Linked DNA regions of Callithrix jacchus. The protein of the gene in region 2 purifies or fractionates together with the protein of the main gene of each other region. This does not show direct contact. Links are inferred from orthologs where the notes say so. Each region holds a gene or a part of one and is shown on either strand. Other genes may lie near its edges. The genes, in order: TMEM43, SAAL1 and SLC27A2.

The links.
Region 1: the proteins of SAAL1 (region 2) and TMEM43 purify together in Homo sapiens (affinity purification with mass spectrometry; 3 studies listed by BioGRID and IntAct, with this or other methods). This does not show direct contact. The link is inferred for Callithrix jacchus from reciprocal best matches to the Homo sapiens genes SAAL1 and TMEM43.
Region 3: the proteins of SAAL1 (region 2) and SLC27A2 purify together in Homo sapiens (co-immunoprecipitation; 3 studies listed by BioGRID and IntAct, with this or other methods). This does not show direct contact. The link is inferred for Callithrix jacchus from reciprocal best matches to the Homo sapiens genes SAAL1 and SLC27A2.

What each region holds. Positions count from the first base shown.
Region 1 is NC_133516.1:71,113,981-71,124,237, reverse strand, and holds the end of TMEM43 (transmembrane protein 43), read right to left. Parts: intron 3,570-10,257; coding exon 3,367-3,569; 3' UTR 1,532-3,366; downstream 1-1,531. UniProt on the Homo sapiens protein: May have an important role in maintaining nuclear envelope structure by organizing protein complexes at the inner nuclear membrane. Required for retaining emerin at the inner nuclear membrane.
Region 2 is NC_133511.1:84,115,602-84,125,858, forward strand, and holds part of SAAL1 (protein SAAL1), read right to left. Parts: intron 9,788-10,257; coding exon 9,708-9,787; intron 8,015-9,707; coding exon 7,955-8,014; intron 7,828-7,954; coding exon 7,712-7,827; intron 7,076-7,711; coding exon 6,895-7,075; intron 4,522-6,894; coding exon 4,439-4,521; intron 4,351-4,438; coding exon 4,162-4,350; intron 1,046-4,161; coding exon 849-1,045; intron 1-848. UniProt on the Homo sapiens protein: Plays a role in promoting the proliferation of synovial fibroblasts in response to pro-inflammatory stimuli.
Region 3 is NC_133509.1:37,861,499-37,871,755, reverse strand, and holds part of SLC27A2 (long-chain fatty acid transport protein 2), read right to left. Parts: intron 6,432-10,257; coding exon 6,237-6,431; intron 3,404-6,236; coding exon 3,313-3,403; intron 2,440-3,312; coding exon 2,241-2,439; intron 624-2,240; coding exon 526-623; intron 1-525. UniProt on the Homo sapiens protein: Mediates the import of long-chain fatty acids (LCFA) into the cell by facilitating their transport across cell membranes, playing an important role in hepatic fatty acid uptake.

The DNA.
Region 1 (10,257 bases), on a different chromosome or scaffold from region 2:
GATCAGTGTTAAACTAGATTCTGTTCATTACTAGATAAATGTAATAAAGCTCTCAGTACTATAGATACTCAGGAGAAATAACTTTTGTAACACTTTAAGAAAAAAATAAAGCATTTATCTAAAGACTTGGCTCTATATTTGCTTTCAGATTTTCTTTTAAAAGATGGCGTCTTACCATGTTGCCCAGGCTGGACTCCTGGGCATTAGTGGTTCTACTGAGGGCTTTACCTCAGTTGCCCTCACAGCCGCCGTGTGCAGTAGAAAGGCATTGTTCGACAAACAGTCCCAGCTTCTCAGGACTGCAGGCACCCACACACCACCGCCTGTGCCCAGCTTCTTTCAGATTTACATCAGAAAGAACATCCAGGTGACAGAGCAGTTTGTTTGTATGTTGAGACAGCATGAAAGAATCTTGTTTTCATGTAGGCTGGGAACTCATTACACATGGAATTTTTCTGTGTTTAGTGAAGAGATATTACTTAATCTTTGAGAGGAGCCGTTAAAAATGAGTCAGTTTTATCCAAGGGAAACAAACAAAACACTTGGGTTATGACTCATATGTGGCAAGAGGCTGGCTGGAGCTTCTTGTTGAGAAACAGACCGGGGTTGCTATGGAAACTGGCTCACACTTTTTTTTTTTTTTTTTTTTTAATTTTTTGAGACAGGGTTTTACTCTGCTGCCCAGGCTGTAGTGCAGTGGCGTGATCTCAGCTGACTGCAGCCTCCACCTCTGGGCCTCAAGCAATCAATCCTCTCACCTCAGCCTCCTGAGTAGCTGGGACCATGGGCATGCACCACCATGCTTGTCTTTCTGGGGTTTTGAGACGATGGCATTGCCATGTCTCTGCAGAAATAACTTCTTCAGGCATATGTCAGCTACTAGGAGGCATTATTGAAACAGTAGGTTATGAGAAACAGAAGAGGTTTGAGAAAGTTACCACTCACCTGCTTATGAAAAATAAAGCACTCAAACTGCTAGCATCAGAGTGGGCAGTTAGCAGCCATTGCTTCAGAACAGGAAATAGAGGAATGAAAAATTAATGCCATGAGTCAGGCATTCTATGGGCTTTATCTCATTTGGCCCTCACAATAATCTTGTGAGGTGGACAAGTGCTGTTCCCATTGTACCAGTGAGGGAACAGACTCAGATCTTTGATTTGCCCAGCATCACAACCAGTTTGTAGCAAACTTTGGCTCAGAACTCAGGTCTGTGTGCCAACTCAGGATGCCTTTGGCTGTGCAGCACACTGTTGCCCCTTCCACCTCTTCTGGCACATTCTGAAGATGCATGAAGCCTGAGTCATTCACTTTAAATCAAGCCAAAACAAAGTGGGCTTCTGTATGGAAGGCCTGAGTGGTAGGAATAGAGTTGCCCTTAAAAAAAAAAAAAAAAAAAAAAAACCTATTTTAACCACTGAAAACTCAGAACAAAGTTCCACAAAATTCAGTTCTCAATAAATCCTATGGCTGAATTATTTATAGGAATTTCAGAAAGAATGCCAAAAAATAAAAATAAAACAGGATGTCAGGGTCCCATACCAGAAGATACTTAGAAATTTATTTCAAAATTTTTCATCAAAAATACAAAGATAATACAAATTTGGTTTTCAAAGCTTTCACATTTTTCTTAACATTTTTCTCTCTAAGAACACTTTTGAAGTTGGCAGTAACTTAAAATCCTTATTAGAAAAAAACCAAATCCCAAGGATTTTGCATTTAGCCACCATCTAGTTATACTGTGTGTTTTCCAGAACCATCCTTTAAGATTTTGGGGATTTGATGAAATTGCTCATGTTATAAGCAGTTAGTGAATACTATTCAATCCCAAACCCAGATAAGTCATCTTGGGCTGGCTGTGTTTTTCATGTAAAGAAACTCATTTATAGTACAGGCACCCCAGGCCAAGAGAGATGACTACAGATCTCTGGTTTCAGAAGTTCTGACCCCTTCCTTATTTATCTACCAAATACTTAACTTGCTAAAGCAGTTATTCCCAGCAGGTGCAAAAGTTTCTGAATGTGAGAGAAGGTATACAAATCATTTAAGACATCATCCTGGTTACAGCATACTTTAAAAGGGTGTGAGAGTAGTTGGGAAACAGAAATTCTGTGACTTAGGTGTGGGTGGATTTTATTTAGGATGACTAAAGCTATGGACACAACCCGCAAAAGAACCACTCAGAAGCAAAGATAGGAGGCCCAGGTGCCCGTGCCCAAAGCACTCCCAGTGAAATCAGCCAGGCAGGTGTGGGCATTCTATAGCAAGCCTCAGGCCCCAGTTCTTTATTGTGGTTGACTGGGCTATGAAGGAGCCCATTCATTTAGTATAAAGATTCCAACTTTTCTCTTAATATTTTCTTTAATCTTTTAAATCATCTTGAAGTGCACAGGGGAGTTTCCGATGCCAGAGGACGAAAGCAAGTGCTTTCTCCACCTTCTCTTCCCAGAGGGAACAAATCCTTTTGCTAATGGTTGTTTCAAAAGCATCCCTTGTAAAGCTTCTCAGTGACACAAAATACTGACAGAGGTAACTTTTTATCAAACTACACACCCCAATTTAACACCTTTCAGTGCTCTGAATTCAACTGACAGACTAAAAGGTGTTTCCCGTAACAGTCTGAAATATTAATCATTCAGGTCTGTGTGTGTGGTTTTTTTTTTTTTAAATCTTTCAGAAAACTCCCTCTTGCGGTAGGAAAGTACACAGGAAGCAGCAAAATGAAGAAAAACTTAAGTAGGGCCTTCAGAGACCCCACACACTACAGATTCTACCAAGCCATAAGGTACATGTAAAGCCCAACATATGTCCAGCTTTTCTCCTTGGAACATCTTCAGTGTTTAAGTAAAAAATCAGGTTCTGGCCACAGACTAGATTTTCGGTGTGCCTGCTTTGTGGGGTCCATGCCCAGTGTGTCTGCTGGTGACCCAGGACTCAGCAGTAATGACAAATGGCCACCCCTCAGGATCACAGATGTGCTTGGTGGTGGTGGCAAAGCCTGGCACCGTGTGCAGTGATGAGAAGCAGCATATAGCAAGGCTGAGCCCTTTATCAGCAGGCCTCTGTGGAGCGTCTGCGTCGTCAGCTGCCGATGGGCTGGGTGGCCAGCCGTACCCACTCAGTCCAGGAGAGAGGAAGGAAACAGTAGGAGAAGCTGTCAGGTTGCCATTTACAAGCTGCTTACTGGCAAGAAGGGGCATGGGGAAGACCAACCCGTTGCATGTGCTGTCAAGTCTGGCCCCTGGAGAGGAGAGGGGGTGCAGAGTCCAAAACTGCTCCAAGCTCCTGCTCTGGCATGGAGCTGGGTCAGGGGTGAGGGAGACCTGGATCCTAGAGCTCACGCAGGTGTCGAGTGGGTGCCAGGTCTTTTCACTCCAGCTTTTTGGCCGGCACTCGTGTCCGAGCAACAATGATGGGCACCAGGGCTAGACTGGCGATGAGGAGGGCCCACAGGGGCCGGTAGAAGAGCCAGCCAGCCGCCACAGTCAGCAGGGTCAGTGAGGTGGCCATGCAGAAGGCAAAGGCTTTCAGGCCAATGTTGACCAGGTCTCGGAAGACAGGAAACCAGTCCACTGTGGAAAGGAGAAAGGCAATGCGGTGTGACCCGCTCTACATCTCACCAGCTCAGCAGATCACTCCTGTCCCTAGGTAAGGATGGGCCTCTGTTGCTTCGTGCGTGAGGAGGGGAGAGAGTCAGTGCAGCAGAAGGCAAAGAGCCTTGTTCTGAGAGCTAAGGGAGCACGGGAGCCTCTGCTATGAGCTGCATGGCTGGACACACTGAGCCACCCACTCTACCCCGCTGCAGGGGAGAGGGCATGGCAGTGCTCTGTAAACTTTAATACTATATGTGGATAGTAGTCTGAGGCCAGTATAAAGACATTTGCCTGGAATGCTAGAAATACCCTGGGTCCTACATACTCACACAAGAGTCTGTAGGTGGAGCCTCCTGTGGGTGCCTGTTTGGACCTCTCAGCCATTCCTAGAGGTGTTTATTCGTTCATGCAGTAAGATGTTACTAATTATTTATCTGCCCAGCACTGAAGCAGCAGGTACTATAGGGAATAAATTAGCCTAAGCATTGGCCTCTCCTCAAGAATCTGACAAACTATTGGTTCAACAGGATAAAGCCTAGGTTCCAGCTAAATTCATGAGGAATTACCCTATTCTTGCCTTGTGTGACCTCTCCAGGTTGGCGTTCCATAGCTCATGTCCACTCAGGGAATCTTCGCTCAGTTCCCAGGAGGTCACCAGTGGTCTGGAATCACTGGGTTTGCAGAGCCAGTCCTGGTGCCCCACCATGCCTGCAGCACATCCTGCAAGCCACCATTGGGACTCATCCTGGTCTGTTCCATACGGCACTGCTACTTACCCCTTATGATCAGCAAAGTTCATGTTTCTGAGCATTGCCTATGTGTTATCTCATGAAGTGCTCATGCCCACCCCGTACGGTAGGTATTCTTCTTAACTTCATTTTACCTATAGGGTCACTGAGGCTCAGGGAGTTAAGAAACTCACCCCAAGTAAAAAGTGCCAGAACCAGGATTTGAACTCATAACCATCTAGGCCCAGAGCCTGGGCTCTGAGCTATTGCTCTAAGCCTATCTCTGTTGCTATGGAGTCTTACACATGGTAGTCAGTATTTATCAAACGTATAGGGGAGTGTGTGCTTCCCTGCTGCGCTCCCAACTCACCCCACCCGCCCTGCAGGTTTCTCCACACTGAGTCTGTCTGAGTCTGGAGCATTCCAGACATAGAGTGAACTGGAATCTGAAGACGTCAGAGATCCAAAGAAGGGCCCTCAGACAGACAGGAGGAAACTGAGGCTCCAGAAAGGAACTGGTCTGCCCAAGGTCATAAAGGTAAGATGGAGGATTCCGTTTAAATGCTGACCTCGGGGGAGGACTCAAGATGGCGCTGTGAGAACAACCCAGGATTGGAGCTCTCGTTGAATCCGCAAACAGTGAGTCGGAGCTACATTTCCAGACTGATCTTTGTTGCCCACAGAACGGGGAAACTCCCAAGTATAAAAAAGACACGGGATGCCAGGCAGTAGGTCTGCCTGGCAAAGCCGGCAGCTGGGGCGGCGGCAGCCGGCCCTACCCAGCAATCCCCACAGGGCGCGCTTGTCCGGGTGCTCTGTTGAACCGGCAACCTGAGACTTGAGAGGGCTGGACTTGAGACTGAACGAGACTTGGACAGTAGGCAAGCCCAGGGGATTGCAGGGACAGATCGTTTGGGACACCCAGTGGGACAAACAAAACTGCGATTTCAAACTATCCCGAGCAGATGGTCCGAGACGCTCTGTGGGGGAGGGGCGTCCACCACTACCGAGGCAACGCGCCCCAACTGAGATACACGCCACTGCTGACGCAGCCAGCCGTTGCCGAGGCAACCCGTCCCTACTGAGATACACGCCCACTGCTGACGCAGCCTGCCATTGCTGAGGCAACACGCTACAACGAAGAGACTCCGCTGCAGGGCATGGCAGAGACCACAGCAGAGCCTGCAGGAACAGGGCGAATCACACAACAGCAGGGCGGAGCCTCGGCAGCCAAACAGTGGCTAGTCTGCCTTCTAGCTGGGCAGGACACCTCATCGGACATCGAAAAATAAAGCCCGAACCCCCCAACACAGAGCATTTGAGAAAAAAAAGGGTTTTTTTTAATGAGCTCTGTTGCAGCAGAATCAAACATAGCAGCCTAACAGCCCTGAATGAACAACAGAGCTCACAGCTCAGCAATTGAGCTCCAAAAAAGTACACAGACTGTCTCCTCAAGCAGCTCCCTGACCCCTCTATATCCAAAAGACTGACATTTGGCAGGCATCATCCTGGGACAAAGATAGCAGAAAAAGAAACGGGTAGCATCCCTCACTGTGCCACAGCTGCTAGAGGTGCACCCCAGACAAGCAGGGCCTGGAGTGGACCTCAGCAGTCGTACAGCGAAGGGGCTAGGCTGGTAGAAGGAAAACCAAGTAACAGAAATACTTCATCATCAACAATCTGGGTGTCCACTCAGAGACCCAATCAAAAAGTCAGCAACTACGTAGATGACAAGCGGATAAACCCACAAAGATGGGAAGAAACCAGCGAAAAAAGGAGGAAAACACCCGAAACCAGAGCACCTCGCCTCCTAGAAAGGACCAAAACTCCTCACCAGCTAGGGAGCAAAGCTGGATGGAGAATGACTGTGACGAAATGATGGAATTAGACTTCAGAAGGTGGATAATGAGAAACTTTCGTGAACTAAAAGAACATGTATTAAATCAATGCAAAGAAACTAAGGAACTTAAAAGATATGAGGAAATGATAACAAGAATGGATAACTTAGAGAGGAATATGAATGAATTAAAGGAGCTGAAAAACACAATACGAGAACTTCGTGAAGCATGCACAAGTTTCAATAGCCGAATTGACCAAGCAGAAGAAAGAATATCTGAAGTCGAAGACCAACTCAATGAAATAAAACGAGAAACCAAGATTAGAGAAAAAAGCGCAAAAAGGAATGAACAAAGTCTCCAAGAAATGTGGGACTGTGTGAAAAGACCTAATCTACGTTTGATAGGTGTACCAGAAGGGGACGAACAGAATGAATCCAAGCTGGAAAATACTCTTCAGGACATCATCCAGGAAAACTTCCCCCACCTAGCAAGACAGGCCAACACTCAAATGCAGGAAATACAGAGAACACCACAAAGATATTCTGCAAGAAGAGCAACCCCAAGGCACATAATCGTCAGATTCAACAAGGTTGAAATAAAGGAGAAAATACTAAGGGCAGCCAGAGAGAAAGGTCGAGTTACCCACAAAAGGAAGCCCATCAGACTCACAGCAGATCTCTCGGCAGAAACACTACAAGCCAGAAGAGAGTGGGGGCCAATATTCAACATTCTTAAAGAAAAGAACTTTCAACCCAGAATTTCATATCCAGCCAAATTGAGCTTCAGAAGTGAAGGAAAAATAAAATCCTTTGCGAACAAGCAAGTACTCAGAGATTTTGTCACCACCAGGCCTGCTTTACAAGAGCTCCTAAAAGAGGCACTACACATAGAAAGGAACAACCAGTACCAGCCATTCCAAAATCACACTAAAAGTTAAAGAGCATCGACATAATGAAGATTCTACAACAACTAACAGGCAAAACAGCCACTTAGTATCAAAATGGCAGTATCAAATTCACACATAACAATATTAACCCTAAATGTAAATGGACTAAATGCACCAATCAAAAGACAGAGACTGGCAAATTGGATAAAAATCCAAAACCCATCAGTGTGCTGTATCCAGGAAACCCATCTCACATGCAAGGATACACAAAGGCTCAAAATAAAGGGATGGAGGAAGATTTACCAAGCAAATGGAGAGCAAAAAAAAGCAGGAGTTGCAATTCTCATCTCTGATAAAATAGACTTTAAAGCAACAAAGATCAAGAGACAAAGAAGGCCATTACATACTGGTAAAAGGATCGATACAACAAGAAGAGCTAACGATCCTAAACATATATGGACCCAATGCAGGAGCACCCAGATACATAAGGCAAGTTCTTAATGACTTACAAAGAGACTTAGACTCCCACACAATAATAGTGGGAGACTTTAACACTCCACTGTCAATATTAGACAGATCAACCAGACAGAAAATCAACAAGGATATCCAGGGCTTGAACTCAGACCTGGAGCAAGCAAACCTGATAGACATTTACAGAACTCTCTACCCCAAATCCACAGAATATACATTCTTCTCAGCACCACATCACACCTACTCAAAAATTGACCACATAATTGGAAGTAAAGCACTGCTCAACAAATGCAAAACAACTGAAATCATAACAAACAGCCTCTCAGACCATAGTGCAATCAAGTTAGAACTCAGAATACAGAAACCAACCCAGAACCACACAGCTTCATGGAAACTGAACAACTGGCTCTTGAATGTTGACTGGGTAAACAGTGAAATGAAGTCAGAAATAAAGAAGTTCTTCGAAACCAATGAGAACGAAGACACAACATGCCAGAACCTCTGGGACACATTTAAAGCAGTCTCTAGAGGAAAGTATATAGCAATAAGTGCCCATATGAGGAGAATGGAGAGATCCAAAATTGACACCCTATCGTCAAAATTGAAAGAGCTAGAGGAGCAAGATCAAAAAAACTCAAAACCCAGCAGAAGACAAGAAATAACTAAGATCAGAGCTGAACTGAAGGAGATTGAGATACGAAAAACCCTTCAAAAAATCAATAAATCCAAGAGCTGGTTTTTTGGAAAGATCAACAAAATAGACAGACCACTAGCCAGATTGATTAAAAATAAAAGAGAGAACAACCAAATAGATGCAATAAAAAATGATAAAGGGGAAATCACCACAGATTCCACAGAAATTCAAACCATCATCAGAGAATATTACAAACAACTCTATGCACATAAACTAGTAAACCTGGAAGAAATGGATAAATTCCTGGACTCCTGTGTCCTCCCAAGCCTAAACCAGGAGGAAGCTGAAACTATGAATAGACCAATAACAAGGGCAGAAGTCGAGGCAGCAATTAAGAGCCTACCACACAAAAAAAGCCCAGGTCCAGACGGGTTCACAGCCGAATTCTACCAGACACACAAAGAGGAGCTGGTACCATTCCTTCTAAAACTATTTCAAACAATCCAAAAAGAGGGAATACTTCCCAAATCATTTTACGAGACCAACATCATCCTGATACCAAAACCCGGCAGAGACCCAACAAGAAAAGAAAACTTCAGGCCAATATCCATGATGAACATAGATGCAAAAATCTTCAATAAAATATTGGCAAGCCGAATGCAACAGCAAATCAAAAAACTTATTCACCATGATCAAGTAGGATTCATCCCAGGGATGCAAGGCTGGTTCAACATACGCAAGTCTATATACGTAATTCACCACATAAACAGAACCAAAAACAAAAACCACATGATTATCTCAATTGATGCAGAGAAGGCATTTGACAAAATTCAACAGCCCTTTATGCTAAAAACCCTCAATAAACTCGGTATCGATGGAACGTATCTCAAAGTAATAAAAGCTATTTATGACAAACCAACAGCCAATATCATACTGAATGGGCAAAAACTGGAAGCATTCCCTTTGAAATCTGGCACTAGACAAGGATGCCCTCTTTCACCACTCCTATTCAATATAGTTCTGGAAGTTCTAGCCAGAGCAATCAGGCAAGAAAAAGAAATAAAGGGTATTCAAATAGGAAAGGTGGAAGCCAAATTGTCTCTATTTGCAGACGACATGATAGTATACCTAGAAGACCCCATCACCTCAGCCCAAAATCTCCTGAAACTGATAAGCAACTTCAGCAAAGTCTCAGGATATAAAATCAATGTGCAAAAATCACAAGCATTCGTCTACACCAATAACAGACTTAAAGAAAGCCAAATCACGAATGAACTGCCATTCACAATTGCTACAAAAAGAATAAAATACCTTGGAATACAACTCACAAGGAACGTAAGGGACCTCTTCAAGGAGAACTACAAACCACTGCTCAACGAAATCAGAGAGGACACAAGCAGATGGAGAAACATTCCATGTTCATGGTTAGGAAGAATTAATATCGTGAAAATGGCTATACTGCCCAAAGTAATTTACAGAATCAACGCTATCCCCATCAAGCTACCATTGACTTTCTTCACAGAACTGGAAAAAACCACCATGAACTTCATATGGAACCAAAAGAGAGCCCGCATAGCCAAGTCAATTCTAAGCAAAAAGAACACAGCGGGGGGCATCACACTACCGGATTTCAAACTATACTACAAGGCTACAGTAATCAAAACAGCATGGTACTGGTACCAAAACAGAGATATAGACCAATGGAACAAAACAGAGGCACCGGAGGCAACACAACATATCTACAACTATACAATCTTTGATAAACCTGACAAAAACAAGCAAGGGGGAAAGGATTCCCTGTTTAACAAATGGTGTTGGGAAAACTGGCTAGCCATGTGCAGAAAGCAGAAACTGGACCCCTTCCTGACACCTTACACTAAAATTAACTCCAGATGGATTAAAGACTTAAACATAAGACCTGGCACAATAAAAACCCTAGAAGGAAATCTAGGCAAAACTATCCAGGACACAGGAGTAGGCAAGGACTTCACGAACAAAACACCAAAAGCATTGGCAACAAAAGCCAAAATAGACAAATGGGACCTGATGAAACTCCACAGCTTCTGCGCGGCAAAAGAAACAGTCACTAGAGTGGATCGGCAACCAACAG
Region 2 (10,257 bases):
GCCACTCAGGTTGGAGTGTAATGGCACAATCTTGGCTCACTGCAGCCTTGACCTCCTGGGCTCAAGCAATCCTTCCATCTCTGCCTGGGATCACAGGCATGTGTCACCACGCCTGGCTAATTTTTGTATTTTTTTGTAGAGATGAGGTTTTGCTGTGTTGCCCAAACTGGTCTCAAACTCCTGGGCTCAAGTGATCTGCCTGTCTCAGCCTCCCAAGAACTGTGATTATGGGCACCTGGTCAAAAGTAAGTTCTTGTTAGGGAATACTCTTTTGAAAATTCAGTGGGTATGAGTAAATATAGTTATATTTATAACATTTTATATTCAAAATACATAATAGAATATATTAATAACATATTCATAATCTGTTTCTTTCCAAATACATGGATAGAAAGAATATGGTCAAAGGAAGAATGTTAATCACTGAACATATTCAGGGAGAATATTCCTTAGGAGAAGTTTGTAGTAAATTTTGAAAACTGATTGTTTGGTAAATTAGGTTTAAATTGGTTCTCAGTAAAAAGTCTTTCATCTAGAATCAAGAAAAATGCTTATAACACAGTGTTAGGGAAAAGAGCAGTCTGTATATGCTGGGTGAAAGTATACAAAAATGCATTTATAAATATATATGCATGTAAACATATGTTTGTCATACATAAATTAACCAAACTACATCTACTAGCGGTTTTTAAGATTATAAACTCATGGTGATATTAAAATTTTACTTTATTTTCCCAAATTCAATTTTACTTTTATATTAACAAAATAATAGCAGTATTAATAAAGTTTGGAGCATTAAGCTGTACACACTTTCACTTATGACATCATCATCAGTACTTCTTTCCTACCTTTGTTAATGCCTGAAAAATATTAGAAAGAAATTCACATAAAATATCCTTTAAGATTTTCAAGTGGAAATCATCTTGGGTTAAATCAGTCTTTTTAGTTTCGTCTGTGTTAGACTCTGCCGAGTTCTCTGGTTTCTTCTGACACTGTTCCATATTTTGTAAGACCCGAATGAGGCTGTCAATTAGAGGAAGATCTACTGTATAAACAAATCAAGAAGCATTGAATTGGCCAGTTAAGTTTGGTTTTTCATTCATACGTATTGAGTTAGTGCTAGACATCATTAGTTTAGGTATTACAGATACAGTGGTAACACGACCAAGATGTCAGCCTGTAAGTGGCATATATTTTTATACTTTCAAATAAGTAAATAAAATAGACCATTTCAGGTTTTGGTAAGTTCTATGAAGGAAATAAAAGAGGAATATAACATAATGGTCTAGCAGGGAAAGCTCTCTGAAAAGGTGACACTGAGTTGAAAACTAAAGCAATGAAACGTTAGCAATTAAAAGAGCCCCGGAAGTCAGGCCTGGTGGCTCATGACTATAATCCCAGCACTTTGAGAGGCCAAGATGGGCAAGTAGCTTGAGCCCAGGAGTTTGAGATCAGCCTGAGCAACTTGGAGAAACCCTATTTTACCAAATACAAAAAATTAGCTCACAGGATTTTTCTTCCACCTCAACTGTTCCATCTTAGTCCAAGTTATAACATTTCTTGCTAGAGTCAATTATCCAAACTCTAAAAGCCTCCTAACTCGTCTCCCTTTTGTATCCATGGCCCCCTTCATTTCTCATCAAAACAGCAGCCTATTAAAGTCAGCTCATGTGTAAGCAATATCTGCTTAAAACCCACCATGGTTCCCTAACTCATTCAGAGGAAAAGGCAAAATCGGAACCTCCATACTCTACCTCTCTGGTGCTACTTTGCTAAATCCACCTCAGCTATTTGGTATCTCACTGTTCCTCCTTAAAGACACCAGGCATACTTCTGGTTCAGGGCTTTTGTACCTTCTATTCCTTCTCTCTGGAATGTTTTTCTCCCCAAGTATGCACATGACTCCCTCCATTCTTCTCCTAAGATCTGTACTCAATGCCACCTTCTCAATGATGTAACATATCTACAAATGAAAATCTTAAAAATATTCAACATTTTTTTAATTAAAAACTCAATAAAATAGAAACAGATTAATACTTCCTTAAATGGTAAGACATGTATCTTTTTGTTGAGGGGACGGAGTCTTGCTCTGTTGCCCAGGCTGGAGTACAGTGGTGAGATCTTAGCTCACTACAGCCTCTGCCTCCCAGATTCAAGTAACTCTCCTGCCTCAGCCTCCCGAGTAGCTGAGGTTACAGGCATGTGCCACCATGCCTGGCTAATTTTTGTATTTTTGAGCAGAGACAGGGTTGGCCAGGCTGATCGTCAACTCCTCACCTCAGGTAATTTGTCCACCTCGGCCTCCCAAAGTGCTGGGATTATAGGTGTGAGCCACTGCATCTGGCTGTAAAACATGTATCTTATACCCAATAATGCTTAACAGAACTCTAGGATTATTCCTAATAAAATCAGGAACAAGGGAAGGGTGTTTTCTATCATCACTTAATAGTGATGATAGAAACACCAGAGATACTAGGCAACCCAGACAGAAAAAGAAACCACAGATAGAGAAGTGATAAGATATATCTAATTTAAGCCAAAGCATTATCAGATAAAGCCCAAGGATTATTATTGGAATGACTATTAAAAATAGTAAGAATTTGGTAAGGTTACAGGAGGCAAAGTTAATATACAGAAATCAATAGCCTTCATATATTCCAACAACAATAATCAGTGGAAGGAAACATGTCATAGACAATAGTAAACCCAAAGGATAAACTACCTAGAAATGAAATTAATAAGAAATATACAAGATCTATATGAAGAAACCATTACTGAGGGACAAAATAAGACTTGAACAAATGAAAAGGCATAACATATTCTTATAAAATTAACACAATATGAACAAAAATATCAGAGTTTTTGTTTTTGGAACTTAAGTTAGAGATAAGAATAGTTAAAAATATTCTGAAAACTCAGAATGAAGAGGGATTCACTCTATTAGGTATTAAAACATAAAACCTTAATATTTAAAAACAATATGGCTACTAATATGTAAATAGAGCAATGGAACTAAATAGAATATATAGGGGAATTTAAAAAATAATAATGATGAAATTTCAAATTAGTGTAGGCAAGCTGGATTATTCACTAAATGATGGTAAGATAATGGGGTAGCCCTCTGGAAAAAAACGGATACCACTAGTACCAAAGTTATCAAAGGGGGGAAAAAATTAAAGCCACACTTCACCTGTGACACCAGAATAAATTCTAAATGAATCATGAATTTAATTGTAGTCATAAAAATCATTCTGTGAAAGAATATGTATTTGCAAAGGAAAATATTCATTTTTATTTTCTAAATGAAATGTTGGCTAAAAAGCAGAATTTAAAAAATACATATGCATGCATTGGATGCTACATTTACAAGCATCATGTTTCCTTGATGTTTTTTATAAATTTTATACATTTTTAGGCAGGGTACAGTGGCTCATGCCTATAATACCAGCACTTTGGCAGGCAAGGCAGGAGGGTCATTTGAACCCAGGAGTTTGGGACGAGCTTGGGCAAGATGGCAAGACCCAGTCTCTATAAAAAAATTTAAATATTAGCCAGGTGACGTGTCATGTGCCTGTAGTCCCAGCTACTCAGGAGGCTGAGGTAAGAGAATTGCCTTAGCCCAGGAATTCAAGGTTTCAGTGAGCTATGATCCTGCCATTGCACTAGAGTCTCAGCAACAAAGTAAGACTCTGTTTTTAAAATAAGTAAATAGCCAGGTGAGTTGGCTCATGCCTGTAATCCCAGCACTTTGGAAGGCCGAAGTGGGTGGATCACTTAAGGTCAGGAATTAGAGCCCAGCCTGGCCAACATGGTGAAACCTCTCTCTCCTGAAAAAATACAAAAATTAGCCAGGCATGATGGTGTGTGTGCCTGTAATCCCAACTACTCGGGAGGCTGAGGCACGAGAATCACTTGAACCCAGGAAGCAGAGTTACAGTGAGCTGAAATCACATCACTGCACTCCAGCCTAGGCAACAAGGCAAGACTCCATCTCCAAAAAATAAAAATAAATAAAAATAAAATAAGTAAATAAATATGATAATAAAATAAATTTTTAAAGTTTAGCATGTAACATTTCTATAATTAGGGGAATGAAACCATTTTTAAAAGGGAGAAATAAATGAAATGAAAAACAATATGAGCCTAAAAAATTGTACTTGCCTTTTTCTATCTTTAGATATTCTTGCTCAGTCTGTGAGGCATAGATGGCAGACAACACAGAAAAAACAGAGGCGAGCACTGTTTTCTGTTCTTGAAGAATGATGGGTGGATCATCAGACTGGCAGAACTCATGGCAGACCAGGTCGAAAAGTAAATTCCAAATATCTTTTCCAGTGTCAGGACAATGTACTTAATAAAGATAATAAAGAAAGTAGTAATTTAAAATCAGCAAAGAATTAAATGAGTAACTGTAGTGCATCCGGAAAAACCATCTTACCAATTGCTTGAATTCCATCATCCACTGTAGTAAGCAATTGTAAAATGTGCATGTAAACATCAAGCCATTCTGGATTTTCAGAGCTAAAAAGGAAAGTAAAAGCCACAACTTTACTGTACCAATCATTCATCCATTCAATGAATATTTATTACTCTGTGCCAGCCACTGCTCTAAGTGCTGAGGATAAAACAAGGAAAGGAATGAAGTCTCTATGCTCATTAGAGTTTTTATATTCTAATAGAGGAAACAGCAAAAAAAAAAAAAAAAATCACAAATATTATATAATATAATCAACACACACAGGCAAGAAGTAAAAAAATTGTTTGCCTTTATCTCATAAAAGTAACAATGCAGAAACCTGCTAGTTGATACTTTATCATTTTGGTTTGCTTGAATAGTCAGAACAAAAAATGACTGAGATTTTTAGAGTATGAGAGTAAGGTCCACTGCACCATGCATCAACAATGATGTTCTGAAAATGTCTCAGGATTATACTAGCTCTCTAGCTGAGAATACTAAAACCACATAAGTCTAATTCTTACGATCAACAGTTTGGATTCTTAAAAATCTAAACAGTTTAGAAACTCAAAATCTTAGTTCTTCAACCAAGCAAGTGAAAGACAGTGAACAATTAAAACAATGGTTTGGCAAATGTTTATTTAAGTACTTACTACTTTCAGGCACTATGTTAGGAACTAAGAAAACAGATGTATAAGATGTTATCCCTATTTTCATAAAGTCTATACTCTAAAAGGAAAGAAGATTGCTAGCAGGGTAATGATAATAAAGTAGTATGCATGTAGCACTATTGGACTAGGAACTTCTCAGAACAAGGAGACTTAGTTTGCAAGGTCAGGGAAGGCATCTTATGAAAAATGATATTTACACAGAAACATGAAGGTGCAAAGTGTTTGAGGTGAAGGAGACATACTGTGCCAGGGCCTGGCGACAAGAGAGCCTGGTTCAATTGAAGAAGTGAAGCAAGCTTCACATGACTGAAATTCAGAGTACAAGGAATAAGGATAGAGAGGCATTCTACTGAGCTTATAAGCTGTACTTTTTTTTTTTGAGAATTTTTCATTTATTTCATTCTTTTTTCACCTATTTATTTAAATTTTCGATTCAGAAGGTACATGTTAGGGGCTGTTACATGCATGATGCTGAGGTTTGGGAATACAGATGGTCCCTTCACCCAGGTGATGTATATAGATTTCAAGCTCTGTTTTTTTGGGTTTTTTTTTGGACCTTATCCTAAGGAAGGCAACTGAAAAGACTGAAGCATGAGAGTGAGATGAGTGCGTACTTTACAAAAACAGCTTTTAAGTCTAGGCTTGGGAAGAAGCAAGCATAGAGGCAGGGAATTCAAGTAAAAGAATGTGGCAGTTCTCCAGATGAGAGACAATAATGGCTTGTTTGGCATGGATAAAATCCCAGGAAAAGTCAGGAATAAGGGTTGGAAGTTGACTACAATGGGACAATATTGGGGCATTCAGTAATGGCTTCTCCATTTCTTCTATGTTATCCAAATAGGATAATGATTGCACCATTTACTGATATTGAGAATACTGATGAAGCAGATTTAGGGAAAGATGATGAATTTAATCCTCACTTGGATAAAGGACACAAAATTAATAGGTTTTGATGTGGCTTACTCAGCACTAAGAATGCACTAAGCAAACCACTAAGCAGATCAATTTCAAAATTAATTTTCTAGTGATTAGCAATAAATAGTTTTAATGACCTGTAAGACCTAGTAATCACTCTTGGCAAGACATCAGAGTCCCAAAATCAATCACTTATTGAAGACTGGCATATAAACACAAGGAGCTAAATAAATAAATAAATAAATGATGTGCAACGCTAAGAACCTGTTAAATGTTCAATGCAAAATAACCACATGAAAATGTTTTCTCTTTATTTATTTTTTTTTTTTTTGAGACAGAGTTTCACTCTTGTTACCCAGGCTGGAGTGCAATGGCGTGATCTTGGCTCACTGCAATCTCCACCTCCTCGGTTCAGGCAATTCTCCTGCCTCAGCCTCCTGAGTAGCTGGGATTACAGGCACGCGCCACCGTACCCAGCTAATTTTTTGTATTTTTAGTAGAGACAGGGATTCACCATGTTGACCAGATGGTCTCGATCTCTTGACCTCGTGATCCACCCGCCTTGGCCTCCCAAAGTGCTGGGATTACAGGCGTGAGCCACCATACCCGGCCCTCTTTATTTAATGTTGAATAACAGCCTATAGCTAAATGATAATACAACAGGAACTTTGTAACCATTATCATTCTTGCAAAAAGCAAACATGTTGCATTACAAATATTAGTAGTGAATCAACGTAACAAAGAATGACTGTATACTTCCGTCTGTTGCAAGGAATCTAACAAGACTTATGTCTGAGAATGCTTCCAGCAATTGCATTTTCCCAGAACACTTGCATGAAAGAGCTCACCTACCGTACTTGTTTGGCAGCCTCAAGTATACAAGGCACAAGCCTAAAAACTGGCTGCTCATCAGACTCTTCCTGGGGTTGGTCTAGAGGCTGAGTAGCCCCATTTCTGACCCATTCCAACATCAGTTTCTCATCCAAATCAAAGAGCTTGTCCACAACCTCCCCGACCTTCACCAGCAAGTCAACTGCAGAGAATAAAACAGATGGTTAAGCAAAATTCTAAAGCTATTCTAAGAAAGCTAAACCTTGCTCAAGTAGTACTTATTCCAAGGGTGATTTACTTATCTCCTATGTTTAAATTTGCTTATATTTCCTTATTTTTAAATGAGGAATTTATCAGTGTCCCAGGAGTTTAAGAAATTTTATATCTTCTTCAATCAAAAAACTGTCTCCAAAAAACAAACAAACAAAAAGCTGGGCTTATACCTATAATCGCAACACTTTGGGAGGCTGAGGCTGGGTGACTGCTTGAACCCACGAGTTCGAGACTAGCCTGGGCAACAAAGCAATACCCTGTCTCTACACAAAATTCTAAAATGAGCTGAGCGTGGTGGTGCATGACTAGAGCCCCAGCTACTGGGGAGGCTGACAGAAGGATACCTTGAGCTCAGGAGTTAGAGGCTGCAGTGGGCTATGATCACACTACTGCACTCCAACCTAGGTGACAGAGCAAGATTCTGTCTCAAACAAACAAACAACTTTATTACCTTGCACTCAAGCCTTTTTTTTTTTTTTTAAGGCTTCTAGAAATAGTTACATGGTTTCCTAAAAATTAAGTAAAATTTAAAACACTTTTTTTTCTAGAGTACATGATGACTCACCATTTGTTGAACTTGACATAATGAAGCAAATGCTATCATAAATAGCCGGATGTTCCCGGATCCTTTCAACCCAGACACTGGCCACTTCTGCCTGGGAAAGGCAAGTAAGCAACAACCTATATGGTAAACGTGGGTTGAATTTCTACTTTTCAAAAACAGTAAAGGAAATTTGAAAATAAAAAATTAACTTTCTTAGCTACTCTTATGAGTAACATTATAGAATTCATAAAAGGAAACGCATACCTGCTTGTTTCCAGCAGAGTAGGTGGGTCTGAATCATACAAACAGTGCAATAACACCTGCCTACAAAAACACAGAAGTTAACCGATATGCCTCACTTCTTGCATTTGGAGTATCAGAGTTTTCATTTCATTTTTTGAACATCTTTATTGTGAAATACAGCATGTATACAGAAAAGCCCAAAATATACAAATCTATAGATAATGAATAATTCTAAAGCGAACACTCATGTTTCCAAGAAACAGAATAGAGCTGCATCTCTGTAGTCACCATGTGTCCATTTCAAATCACAATTCTCTTTCCCAGCTAGAAATGATGACCATTCTGACTTTTCCAGCAATCATTTCCTTACTTTGCTCTATAGTTTTATTATTTTATATATTTTGGTGTTGCCTTATACCGCAGGTAAAAGGATTAAGATGCCATGCTGAATAGACATAATCTGGGAGGTCATTTGGATTCATGAAGATGCTCACGAAAGGGAGACAGCATATTGAAGAAATATTACACTTATTCTTTTGAGTCTTCATTTATTTGCTGAAAACTATGTATGTAAGATCCACCCATGTTGTTCCTGTAGCTGTTGTTCTTTGATACACTGCTGCAGAGCATTCCATTGTGTGAAGGTAACACAATTTATTTTTCCAGACTATTGTTAATGGACATTCGTATTGATTCCAATTGGGGCTATTTCAAGCAACTGTCCTATAATATTTGTATGAGTTATTCTGATGCACACGTGCACAGTTTCTCTTACCATATATGCCCACTATGAGCTGGTCACAGCACATGCATATGTTCCAATGTGACCAGATAATGCCCAACTATTCTAAAGTGGTTCAACAAATTTAGATCCCATCAGCATTTAACTGAATTTATAACATTTGTTAACATTTCTCACTAGAGGATTTTGATAGAGAACATTAGAGACTGAACACAATCCTGAGTCGTTTGTTCCACAAATGACTATAAATTACTGAGGAATAAATAACCCGAACTAGGATCTTAAAGTCCCTCCACAACTAGGAGTTACCTATTTTTGAAAAACCCAGGTACTTGAATCCTGTAATAAAACCCTTATGGCCCCAGTTCTGACAAAAACTGCCTAGAAACAAATTTCTTTGAGATTTTGATTAATAGCCATGAACCCTTTGCCTAGAAAACTAATATACCCACAAAATTTAGAATATGATTTCAGGGTGTTCCCAGAACACAGTAACCACTTGGGTTTCCTCCATTAAAAAACTTTCTGCCCAGGACTTTACACATGAAGAAGAGAACTAGCCTCAAAGCAGAAATACGAGTCTTTTAATCACATGTGCACCCCTTTATCTTCTAGTTTGTTAGCAAGTCTTACCCTCTAAGTCAGAGTTCTCGGGATGACATTATTCAACAAATCTAGTTTCTGTAGACTCCAGCTGAGTCATTGGGTTCCTTGCACCTAAACTGTTTTGGATTCCAGTTGGCTGCCCCATCTCCAAGTTTTGTCCCACTGGTTCTTCCCCTATCTGGCTTACTGGCAACGGCTGACAATTCAGGTTCCCTTGCTACTGAAGAAAACAGGCTTAAATCCTGAATCATTTCAGTACCTCCTGAAGAAGCCCCTAACTATCATCAACACACAAAGAAGTTCCTAGAGAGTGTTCATCAGGACAGAGGAAGGACTGTTTTCAGATTTGCTACTTTTCCTATGTATAGAATTTCCTTAAGGATATAAATGAATATATTAAAAACATCATTATGTAGTAAGACTTACCCAAGATTTTCATCACTGCTGATGGACACACATATCTCTTGGAAACAGGCCATATTACCTAAAATTCCCACACAGATTTCCTGCCAAATCAAATTTTACAAGTCACAATGGCTCTGAGGTGAAAGACACATAAACAGAATTAACAATCTGAAAAAAAAAAAACTTTCACTGAGCTAAGTTTTGGGGCAAGGTGGAGGGGAAGCAGGATAAAGAAATACATATACTACCTATACCCTAATCTGGACAAGCTTACAGTATCTGAGAAGGAATGAAAGACATAGAAAAAGAAAAGGCAAAGGTAGGAGATATGGAAGAAGAATTCTTTTTTTTTTTTTGAGATGGAGTTTCGCTCTCATTACCCAGGCTGGAGTGCAATGGCGTGATCTTGGCTCACCGCAACCTCCGCCTCCTAGGTTCAGGCAATTCTCCTGCCTCAGCCTCCCGAGTAGCTGGGATTACAGGCACGCACCACCATGCCCAGCTAATTTTTTGTATTTTGAGTAGAGACGGGGTTTCACCATGTTGACCAGGATGGTCTCGATCTCTTGAC
Region 3 (10,257 bases), on a different chromosome or scaffold from region 2:
CCCTCCCCCACTCTGCAGGCAGAAACAGATCTGCAGATGAAGCTGTGGTAATAACATTCTTGTGTGATGATTCTTCAACTTGGGGTGAAGTGGGCTTAGAAATCTTAAAAAGAAGAGACTGTACAAAATCCACTTTTCCCCAGTTTTTTTTTTTTTTTCTAGCAACTGCACGGGCTCTTCTTTGTGCCTCCTAGTTCAGAGGCCAGGACATCGTTTCCCAGCACTTAAGCATGACATGACTTTTCTTGAGGTGTGCCAAAATGTGGCATGGAGCACCCATATCTGAGACTTTGCCCGTGAGCCCAAGAACGGCTGGGAGCTGAACTGAAGAGAAAGCCTTGTTCTAATGCACTGAGTTGGCTTTTATAATGGAACATAAGCCAGACATAAGCTCCTTACTCCCCAGCAGCTGAAAGAGCTGTTTAACTCTGGATGGCAGAAGAAAGCAAGACAAACTTTGCCTTGAGGTTAAAATTATGTTCAGTTACTCTATGGGTTTAGGCACAGATTATATTTTGTGTATACCTGGCACATGCACTCCATAAACATTCACTTCTTGGACAAAATCAAGCAGTCCTATTATATCAGCAACTTCAGTGGTGGCCACGTTTTCCCCTTTCCACCTGGAAGAAAGGACAAAGTTAGCAGAGGTCATTGTTGGTTTCTGGCAGACGTTGTAATGATGGACAGCAGGTGTTTCCTGCAGATTTCTGCAGGGTGCTGATCTCTTCCTCACCTTGGCCCCTCAAACTCCCCAACTTAGTCCTGGCTGGGGTATCTTGCCTGAGACATAAAAGTGAAAAGTATAGACCTAGATAACAAAATTTGGAATTTCAATCTCACCACATGAAACACAATATACAGAATAATGTTCTAATATTGAAATAGAGCCCTGGCTAAGAAAGGCACTGGAAATCAGAAAGAAATCTCAACTATTTTCTGCTGTGTTTAGGCCTCTCAATTTTTCACTTGCTAACTCAAGTTGCTATTTAATTCAGTTTGTGAAGTTCTCTTTAATAGAACTTCATATTTGTATTTCAGGGTCTCATGGCAACAAGAAAGGAAAAAACAATCATACTTTAGTTACAGGGAGATTATAATGTTAAAGCCCAACCAGGTGATATTTTTCACTTAATAAAGAGTTAAATTTTGTTTCCATTAAAAATTCATTTTATTTTATTATTTTTTTTTGAGGTGGAGTCTCACTGTTGCCCAGGCTGGAGTGCAGAGTCAAAATCTCGGCTCAGTGCAACCTCTGTCTCCCTGGTTCAGGTGATTCTCCTGCCACAGCCTCCCTAGTAACAGATTACAGGCATGAGCCACCAAGCCCAGACCATTAAAAATTCTTTAGTTCTCCCAGAAGCATCTTTCTAATAACATGGAGATGACATAAAGTGATATGGATCTTAAGATGTGCAATAGTAGAGATGGAAGGACCCTGAGAATCATCATGACCCTCATCTCAAGGGCAAAAGAACTGGGATCCAGAACGGTTACCTGTCTTGATACCACTGCTGGTCAGGGGGGAGAGGTGAGCCTGGTTCTCCTCATTCCACTCTGCTGTCTTTGTACTAACTGCAGTTAGACAACTTCCATCCCTTCCTCATTCATTCATGCAAAAAGTGATTATGTGTGTCAGGTACCATGGTAGGAGCTGGGGGTGAACAGGCAGACACAGGGCCTGCCCTCAGGGAGTTTACATAGGAAGGAAGCTGTGTCTGAGGCTGGAGGACTGTGCTATGGTAGGGAATTAATTTCATCGTCTATTAGAAGGACTTCCAGATTTCCTTGTGCTGACCTGGGGGTTTTGTGGGAAACCATTTGGTTGGGGATGAAAGGCGTTGGGGGAAGGGGTTCAGATGCAAACTACCATTAGTTTGCATCTGATTTTATATTAACACCTCCATGATTGGAAAGGTGAAAATCCTTGGCTGTCCTAAGAGTGACCAGTAATAATACAGGACAAACAAGGGGAGTTAAATGGACTTTCATCTCCAAAAGTCAGATACAGGTTTCCTGGCTTATTCTCATCTGGTGTTGCTCAGCCAAGTTAACCGTGCCCTGCAGAGTGACACTTCGTGCACTCCATTCCTCATTCTCTGCGAACACAGGAGTTTGACCTATGTGCCAAAGATAGAGAAGGAAATGCACCATAACCAAAGTGGAATGCGATTCCAATCTAGGAATAAGCCAAACTGTGCGTGTGTTTGTTTTTGGCTCAATGATTCAGAAAAACCAACCGGAATGTATCTCCAACTCTGTCGTGGAAATAGATGAAATTTTCACGGTCAACCATTAAGAGATCTCCACTGTTGAAATAGAGATCTCCTTTCTTAAAGACATCTCTCAGTTTTTTCTTCTCTGTCTGAGCCTTTCCCCCAGCATAGCCACTAAATGGTGTAAGTTGTGTGATTTTGCAAACCAGAAGTCCAACTTCACCTAAAATAGAAGAAAGTAAACTGTTATTTTGTGTGCTAGAGGTAAGCAAATGTATACATCAACCTTCTCTTAAAACTAATGCCATAAACCCACTGGCAACAAACCGGCTGTAGGCAGTATCATTTTCCATGCATGTGTACATGTGAGTTGTATGTACATATATATCACAGACACACATATATATACCATACACACATATATTGTACATTATTATATATGTATTGCATATGGCCTAATTATTTTATTTTATTTTATTTTTTAGATTAAATCTTGCTCTGTTGCCCAGGCTGGAGTGCAGTGGTGCAGTCTTGGCTCACTGCAACCTCTGCCTCAGCCTCCCAAGTAGCTGGGGTTACAGGTGTGTGCTTTTTTGTACTTTTAGTAGAGACAGGATTTCATCATGTTTGCCAGGCTGGTCTTGAACTCCTGATCTCAAATGATCCATCCTCCTCAACCTCATAAGTGCTGAGATTACAGGTGTGAGCCACCACACCTTGCCTGTAATTCTTTTAATGCTAATCTTATACTGAGTAATAATTTGCACAGACTTACATAAATGCACACTAGTTAAAGCTTAAAGGTAAAGACCACCTGAAACTATGGTTTTGCAACCACAATTCCATATCCCTTCCCACAGAACATTACCTCATAAACAAGAAGTTGGTAAGCTAGGTTTAAAACTATAATTATGTTACATGCAGTGGTAAATTAGCACCTTTTGGAATTCCTGTATATTGGAGGGTACTTAAATGACCCCCTGGCTTTTCCCCACTCTGATAAATTTTACCATGTGGCAATAAGATGTTAGTCCTTAAAAGTCAATTGGTCAAGATAAGAAAGGGCACAGATTGATTGAACAGAAGTCCACTGTACCTTTGGGAACTCTGATGCAATATCCATTTTCATCACGGATGGGTTCATCTTTCTCCACGTCATACTTAATCAGGTCATAAGTTATGGCTTTCTAGCAAGATTAAATGTATAATTTTGAGTATAAATCTTTTATAATTTTTTTCTTTTAAATTGTGGTATAACATACATAAAGTATATAAAGTACATCGTAGGGGTATAAGTTGATGAAATTTTACATTTGCATATACCCTTAAAACTGCTACCCAGAGAGAGAGAGAAAATATTTTCATTTCAGCTAGAGAGTTTCCCCCTGCCCTTTTTTGTGAAGTTAACTACTATTCTGACTTATATCACTGTCAATTAATCTTTTTTTTTTTTTTTGAGATGGAGTTTCACTCTTGTTGCCCAGGCTGGAGTGAAATGGTGAGATCTTGGCTCCCTGCAACCTCCTCCTCCCGGATTCAAGTGATTCTCCTGCCTCAGCCTCCCGAGTAGCTGGGACTACAGGCATGTGCCACCATGCCTGGCTAATTTTGTATTTTTAGTAGAGATGAAGTTTCTCCATGTTGATCATGCTGGTCTGGAACTCCTGACCTCAGGTGATCCACCCACCTTGGCCTCCCAAAGTGCTGGGATTATAGGCGTGAGCCACCGTGCCCGGCCCAATTAAAGTTCAGATAAATAAAATAAATGTATGCTTTTGTGTCTGCTTCTTTCACTAAATATGTCTGTAGTTTTCATCCATCAATGTTGGTGTTTTTTATTGCATGCAACTTTCCCTTGTATAAATATACCACGATTTATTTATCTATTTTCTTGTTAATGGGTATTTGGATTATTTCTAGTTTTGGACTATTATAAATAAAACTGTTATGAACATTCTTTTGTCTTTTGGTGGATATATCACAAATGGGTTTTTTAAATCTTATATATTTAATATGCCACTGTTAGATTTTTCATGTTTCTACAGTAATGTTATCTATTTTAGAATCAAAAACATAATTATTTCATGCCTATGACTATAAAAGTATTAAAACTCTATCACATTTAACACATAATTCAATGCATAAGAATTAAATTTTCAGCAATTCAGTGACAGCAATAATAAACATATTATTTTCCTTGTTGGAAGAAAAATGCAAACATGACAATATTTGGATGTAATTATTAGCCATGATTACTGTGTCTATTTCAAATTTATATTCAAGCTTATGTGATGAAGCAACCAATCATATACTTTAGTATTAGAAGGCAACTTCATTAAAAAAAAACAAGTTTCACTTATGGCTAACAAATATAGATCTTATCTGTAGGAATATAAAAAATTTATAGGTTGTAATGAATGTTTTTTCCACATCAATTGCATGTCATCATCTGCTTTTTAAAGTTTTTTTTCTTTAATGTTTTGCTTAAAGAAGAAAAACTGACAATAAAACATGGCAATCTGAATGAGAAAGTAAAGAACAGGTAATACACAGCACTAACGGACTCTCTCAGCAGCAGTTCCAATGGGGAGTAGGAGATCGATTCTCAGTCTGCAGCAGCACTGCCTAGAAATCTGCTGTGATGATGGAAATGTTCTCTGTCTACATTGCTCAATAGGGTAGTTACTAACCACACGTGGCTATTTAGCACTGGAAATGTGGCTAGTGTGACTGAGGAACTGGATTTAAACACTTATTAATATAACTTTAAATAGCCACATGTAGCTACTGGCTACTGTTTGGACAGTGCAGGTCTAGAGGACTGTGGAGGGACCTGTGTGGCATAGGTGGAGCTGTCATTGCCAGAGAGGGTCTTTGAACTTGGGAACACCTTTAGATTAGACCAGAATTTAAGAAATGGAGTAACCATCATCATTATGGCTAACAATTATTCCAGGCTATTAAATGACGGGGATTGGGCTATTGCCTCTAAGGGCCTTTTCATAAGTTATTTAATCTTTTCAACAATCCTTTTCCCTTATTGAGTGTGGGCTAGGAACTGGGTTCAATATTTTCTCTTGTTAACTCTGTTTTACAGATGATGAAATTTAGGCCTGAGGAGCATACGTGACCTGCCCAAGGTCACTCAGCTAGTGTGTGGTGGCACTGAGATTTGCTCTCCAGAGCTTGGCCTCTTATGCACATGAACTACTGTCCTCTGTACTCTGTTGGTCTGTCCGTGGGGACAGAGGTTGCGTGAGAGTTCCATTGTTCATTGTGGCTGTTTCATGGCCAGACGGGAGGAGCTGCCCAGAGGCGTAATGACCTCAGTGATTTCTCAAGCCAGTGGAGGCTCAGCATTTGCCAAACATTTCTGGATATTTGCAGAATAGTTGGTTGTCTGGAAGACTGACTGCTTGAGTACAAAGATGACAACAGAGACCCACAAGCAATAAAACGACTGACAGGGAAAAGAGACTGCTATGTGAACTGGCTTAAAAATAAGAAGTATTTTTCTGGTGGAATTATTAGTGGACATAAATGTTTACTAGATCCTAGCACTGAGATGCCTGGGCTCCCTCTCAGAACCACTGAATCCAAAGCCTAGCGGGTGGGGCCTTGCATCTGTGCAAAAAAAGCTCCCCAGGTGATTGTGATGCACGACACAATGAAAGGGAAACACTATGTTTCACAGCATACGATAAGCTTATGGAATTTGTAAACTTCAGGTGTTTTATCACATATGAGGAAAAATGGCATCAGGAAGACTTCACCTAAGTTGCAGATGGCAAAGGCACAATGGATTGTTCTTAATAGAAATTGAGATGTTTTTAACTGGAGGATCTGATTTTTTAAGGTCATCATCACAGAGAATGAGCAAAACCTCTCTTGGTGATAGGAATGGGCCATGGCTCTGATGCTGCCTGACTTCCGATAACAACATCTTCATGACTTGGCTTTTAAGAAGTCTCTGTATTCTGAAAACTGGCTATGTATGCTCTCATATTTCAATGCACTTACTTTCTGTAGGTAGTTTACTCTTCCAATAGCACCGACTTTTCTCGTATAATTCAGAAATCCAATATTGCCTTCAGTGGCAGCATAGAACTCATAGATGTGAATGTCCCCAAATCTCTTGACAAATTGTTTCCACACATCTCCTCGTAAGCCATTTCCCAGTGCCAATCTCACTTTATGATCACGGTCATTTGGTTTCTGTGGTAGGGGGAGAAGAAGGAGACCAAACTGAAACATCTCTGGAGCCTATACTTACGTATTAATAATTGCCTTTATTTTGTATGTATTTAATTTATACTAACATTGCCTTTATTACATAGTTATGTTGGTTACAAATACCCTTTAGTGTCTGTCTTTTTCTTGCTACCAACACACATTATTCACCGTTCCTCTAGCACAAGCAGTATGGTCTGACAGCTGGAACTCTGATTTAATAACCAAAACATGAATTTTCCCATTTTGATTTTTAAGGAGCCAGATGAGACAACCTGACAGAACCAGGTGATGCCAACATTTAATCCACATCCTATCTAAAGTTAGAATAATGTGAATAATGGTATTCACAGTTTTCTTGGTGAGGCTGGTGAACATCAGTGAATTTCTAGAAAGGAGGAGCCACATGGGAAAGATCTGTCAGAGATGGACACAATCTACTACCAGTGGGACCCTAAGCAGTGTCTAGGATTTTTATGACAATGAAAAATAAAACAGGAAACACAGTCCAGTGAGAGAAAGAGAGAGAGAGCGAAACGTTTTCCACAAAGTCATTAAAGAGCAACGTTGGAGGCTGTGGGAACTGGAGGGAAGAGTCTTGACCATGCCCTTCCCTGTTTAAGAGGTAGGCCCCAGAGTTCGTAAGACCAGGTAGAGCTGAACCGAGACAACAAAACTGTCCCAGTGGGATGCGAAGGGGAACAGGAGGAGGAGGCCACCTCCCAGTTGCCTCAGGTGGCCTGGGAGGAATATGCTTTGCTATACATAAAGATCACAGAGGAAAATCTGTTTTGGGTGTAAGGACTGAAAGGAGCCTTTCTGGCTCCTCCTCCCAGAGGTGGGGCTATGACCAGGCTGCCTTCCATTCAACCACACTCATTTAGGAGACCCACAAATATGTCCATGTCAATGATGGTTTTATTTATCTTATTATTTTCAATTGTTAAAAAAGACTAGTCAAGTACAGTAGTGAGATGAGGGGAAAAAACAGAAGTTTGATCTCTAACTGTGAACGATTAATTGAGATAACTCACTACCTTTAGACCAGCCGAGTGATGGTTTTAATGATATCTTATGTTAATAATGTACTTTACGTCCTCCAGGAAATCACAGGCTGGTGGAAGAGACAAAATAAGTAGGTATAATTTTACCTTGTAAATTCTGTTACTCTATGACCTTTATTCTATCAGGATGCAGAATGATATAGGGTAAGTGCTAGGTCATTGGGGCTCTCCTCTTATATCAACTGTTAATCTCTTTGATAAAACAGCAATTGCTTAGAGCATTTTCTACATTATTTCCTACACTGTGAAATTACTGTGAAGTGGTTTTGAAATAAGAATTACTCTTTGAAAAGAACTATAAGGATTGGGGACTTTGGCATGGCAATTAAAAATCACACCAAGACAAACTGAATTGGTTTCCATGCAGGAGGAGCTAAGGGGACAGGGAAGCAGAAAATACACATTTAATTTTTAAGTAACTTGGCCAGAACATACGTGGCTCTTTCAGGAGTCTTAACCAGAGAGGGGTACTGATGCTGATCATTGGTGAACATGGGCTCCTTGAGCAGTTATTCTGAGGAGGGAATGTGTCAAGAGAGACCAGGGCCCCCTGCCAACGGCTCTTACCCAGGATGTCTGGGAGAATTGCCTGAGAAGCCTTTTGAACCTGCAGGAGACCTAGACATTCAGAATGAGTAGGAATCTATTCTCTCTCTTTTTTTTTAGACAGGGTCTTGCTCTGTTGCCCAGGCTGGTACAATTATGGCTCACTGAAGCCCTAACTCCCAGGCTCACGTGATCCTCCTGCCTGTCTCATGAGTGGCCAGGACTACAGATGTGTGCTACCATGCCTGGCCAATTTATTTATTAATTTTGGACAGATGAAGTCTCACTATGTTGCCCAGGCTCATCTTGAACTCCTGACCTCAAGCTATCCTCCTGCCTTGGCCTCCCGAAGTCCTGGAATTACAGGCATAAGCCACTGTGCCCAGCCAGAATTTATTCTCTGCTGGTCCCTAGGTCACTGGCTCTACTCTGCTTTATAATTACTAAGCTCCCATAAGTCAGGAGATCATATGTCTTGTTTGCAAGGGGAAGCCCTGGCTATACCTATCCTGGAGTGCTGGTTATCTTTCATTATCTTCACCCTCAAGTGTCCCTGTTTGGATAATGAATTGTACGGTCACCCTGCCCACAAGGCACTATCCTCTTCTGTAAGACTGTCAGTATCCACCTCCTCCCACTGCTGTCCCAAGGATAAAACATCACACGTATTTCAAGACTTCCTTTTGCTTAAAGAAAATAAGCTGAGCTGGGCGCTTACTTGACCCCAGGCTTACATGAGAAGCTCCAAAAGCAGCATTCCCACATGTAGACCCAAGGTCTTCCTTATCTCACATGCAGCCCACCAGTGGTCCTTCTCCCACCACTTTGTTTATTTCCTTGTCTTTTGGATGGTGATCATCTGTCTTCCTCATTAAATGGCAAACTCCTTTGAGGCTGAATATGCATGTATCTCTATGTCATCCTCAGTGCCTGGACCTGTACTTTGCATATAGCATAATCCTGGCAGTAAAATAAATAATCTCCACCAGGAAACCTCATTCCCTGTTCAATAACTAGTGGTGGGGTCAGGGCAGGGCTTAGGGTGCAGGAGGCCACAGGCACGCTGGGTGTGTGGGAAGCTGACCAGCCTCACAGGTACAGCTGTCACCTGCCAGTGGCAGGTAGCTGAGCTGAAAATCACAACACCATGGGCTCAGTTTTCATCATCCAGCTGAGGAATCTTATTATATTAGCAAAAGGGATTAAGGCTGGAAATGTTTGTGGGCACAAATGGGAGATCCTGGAGCCTTCTAAGATGTCTGGTTCTCACCTAAGCTTTTGCTCACCAGTGGCTTAAAGAGTATGACTGAAGTTTTCCTTTCCCATAGGGGAAACAGTGTTTCTCCATCACCAGAGCCACTCCACAGAGGAACTGATTTCTAGGTCAAGGGTCACCTGCTTATTTTTTAAAAACAAGATAAAAACCTTCTTTGCATTAGAGCTAAGGCGAAATATGGAAACAAGGGGACTAAATTCACACTGGGGCTGAATGACTGATGAAGACCAAGAGATCAGGGTGTCCAGAGAGAAATGAACGGTGTTAGGTAACTAGAACAGGCAGAAAGCGTCTACTGAGGGCTTTTCTATGGGTTAGGCAGTTGACCTGTTTCCAAGGAATCCTATGAAAGGTGGTAGCTAATAAAGTTAGCTTCATGTTACAATTGAGGACATGGAGACTCAAAAAGCTTAAAATAATTTTCCCAAGATCACTAAGGTAGCAAAACAGTTGCTCCAAGATTCAAATATGAATCAATGTGACTTCAGAGAGCTCTTTTCCTTAATTTTTTTAAAAAGCTCTGCACTTGAGAGGACGTCCACTGTACTCCCCCTCCTTACTCATGCCCACCAATAAATCCCACCTCCCCAAAAATAAAGAAAAAAGGAAAAAAAACAGCAAAGAGAGTACCACACACATAGTATAAGAATCAAATAGCCCTGAAAGGCACTTAAACAAACAATGCTGTATTCACACCACTTACCTGTTCTCACCCTTTACCCCCAGTTTACCACCCAGAAGCAGACGCTTAATTCTTGTAGCTTCTTCTTGCTATCTGCATATTTCTAAATTAAATGCGTATACTTCTTTCTCTTGTTTTATCAATTTCAGATTTCCTATTGTCACAGATGAGGATTCAGTTCCATTCTGTCTCCCTTTTTTCCAGTATCACAATTTTTGGTTAAATAAATATTCACTGCTCACA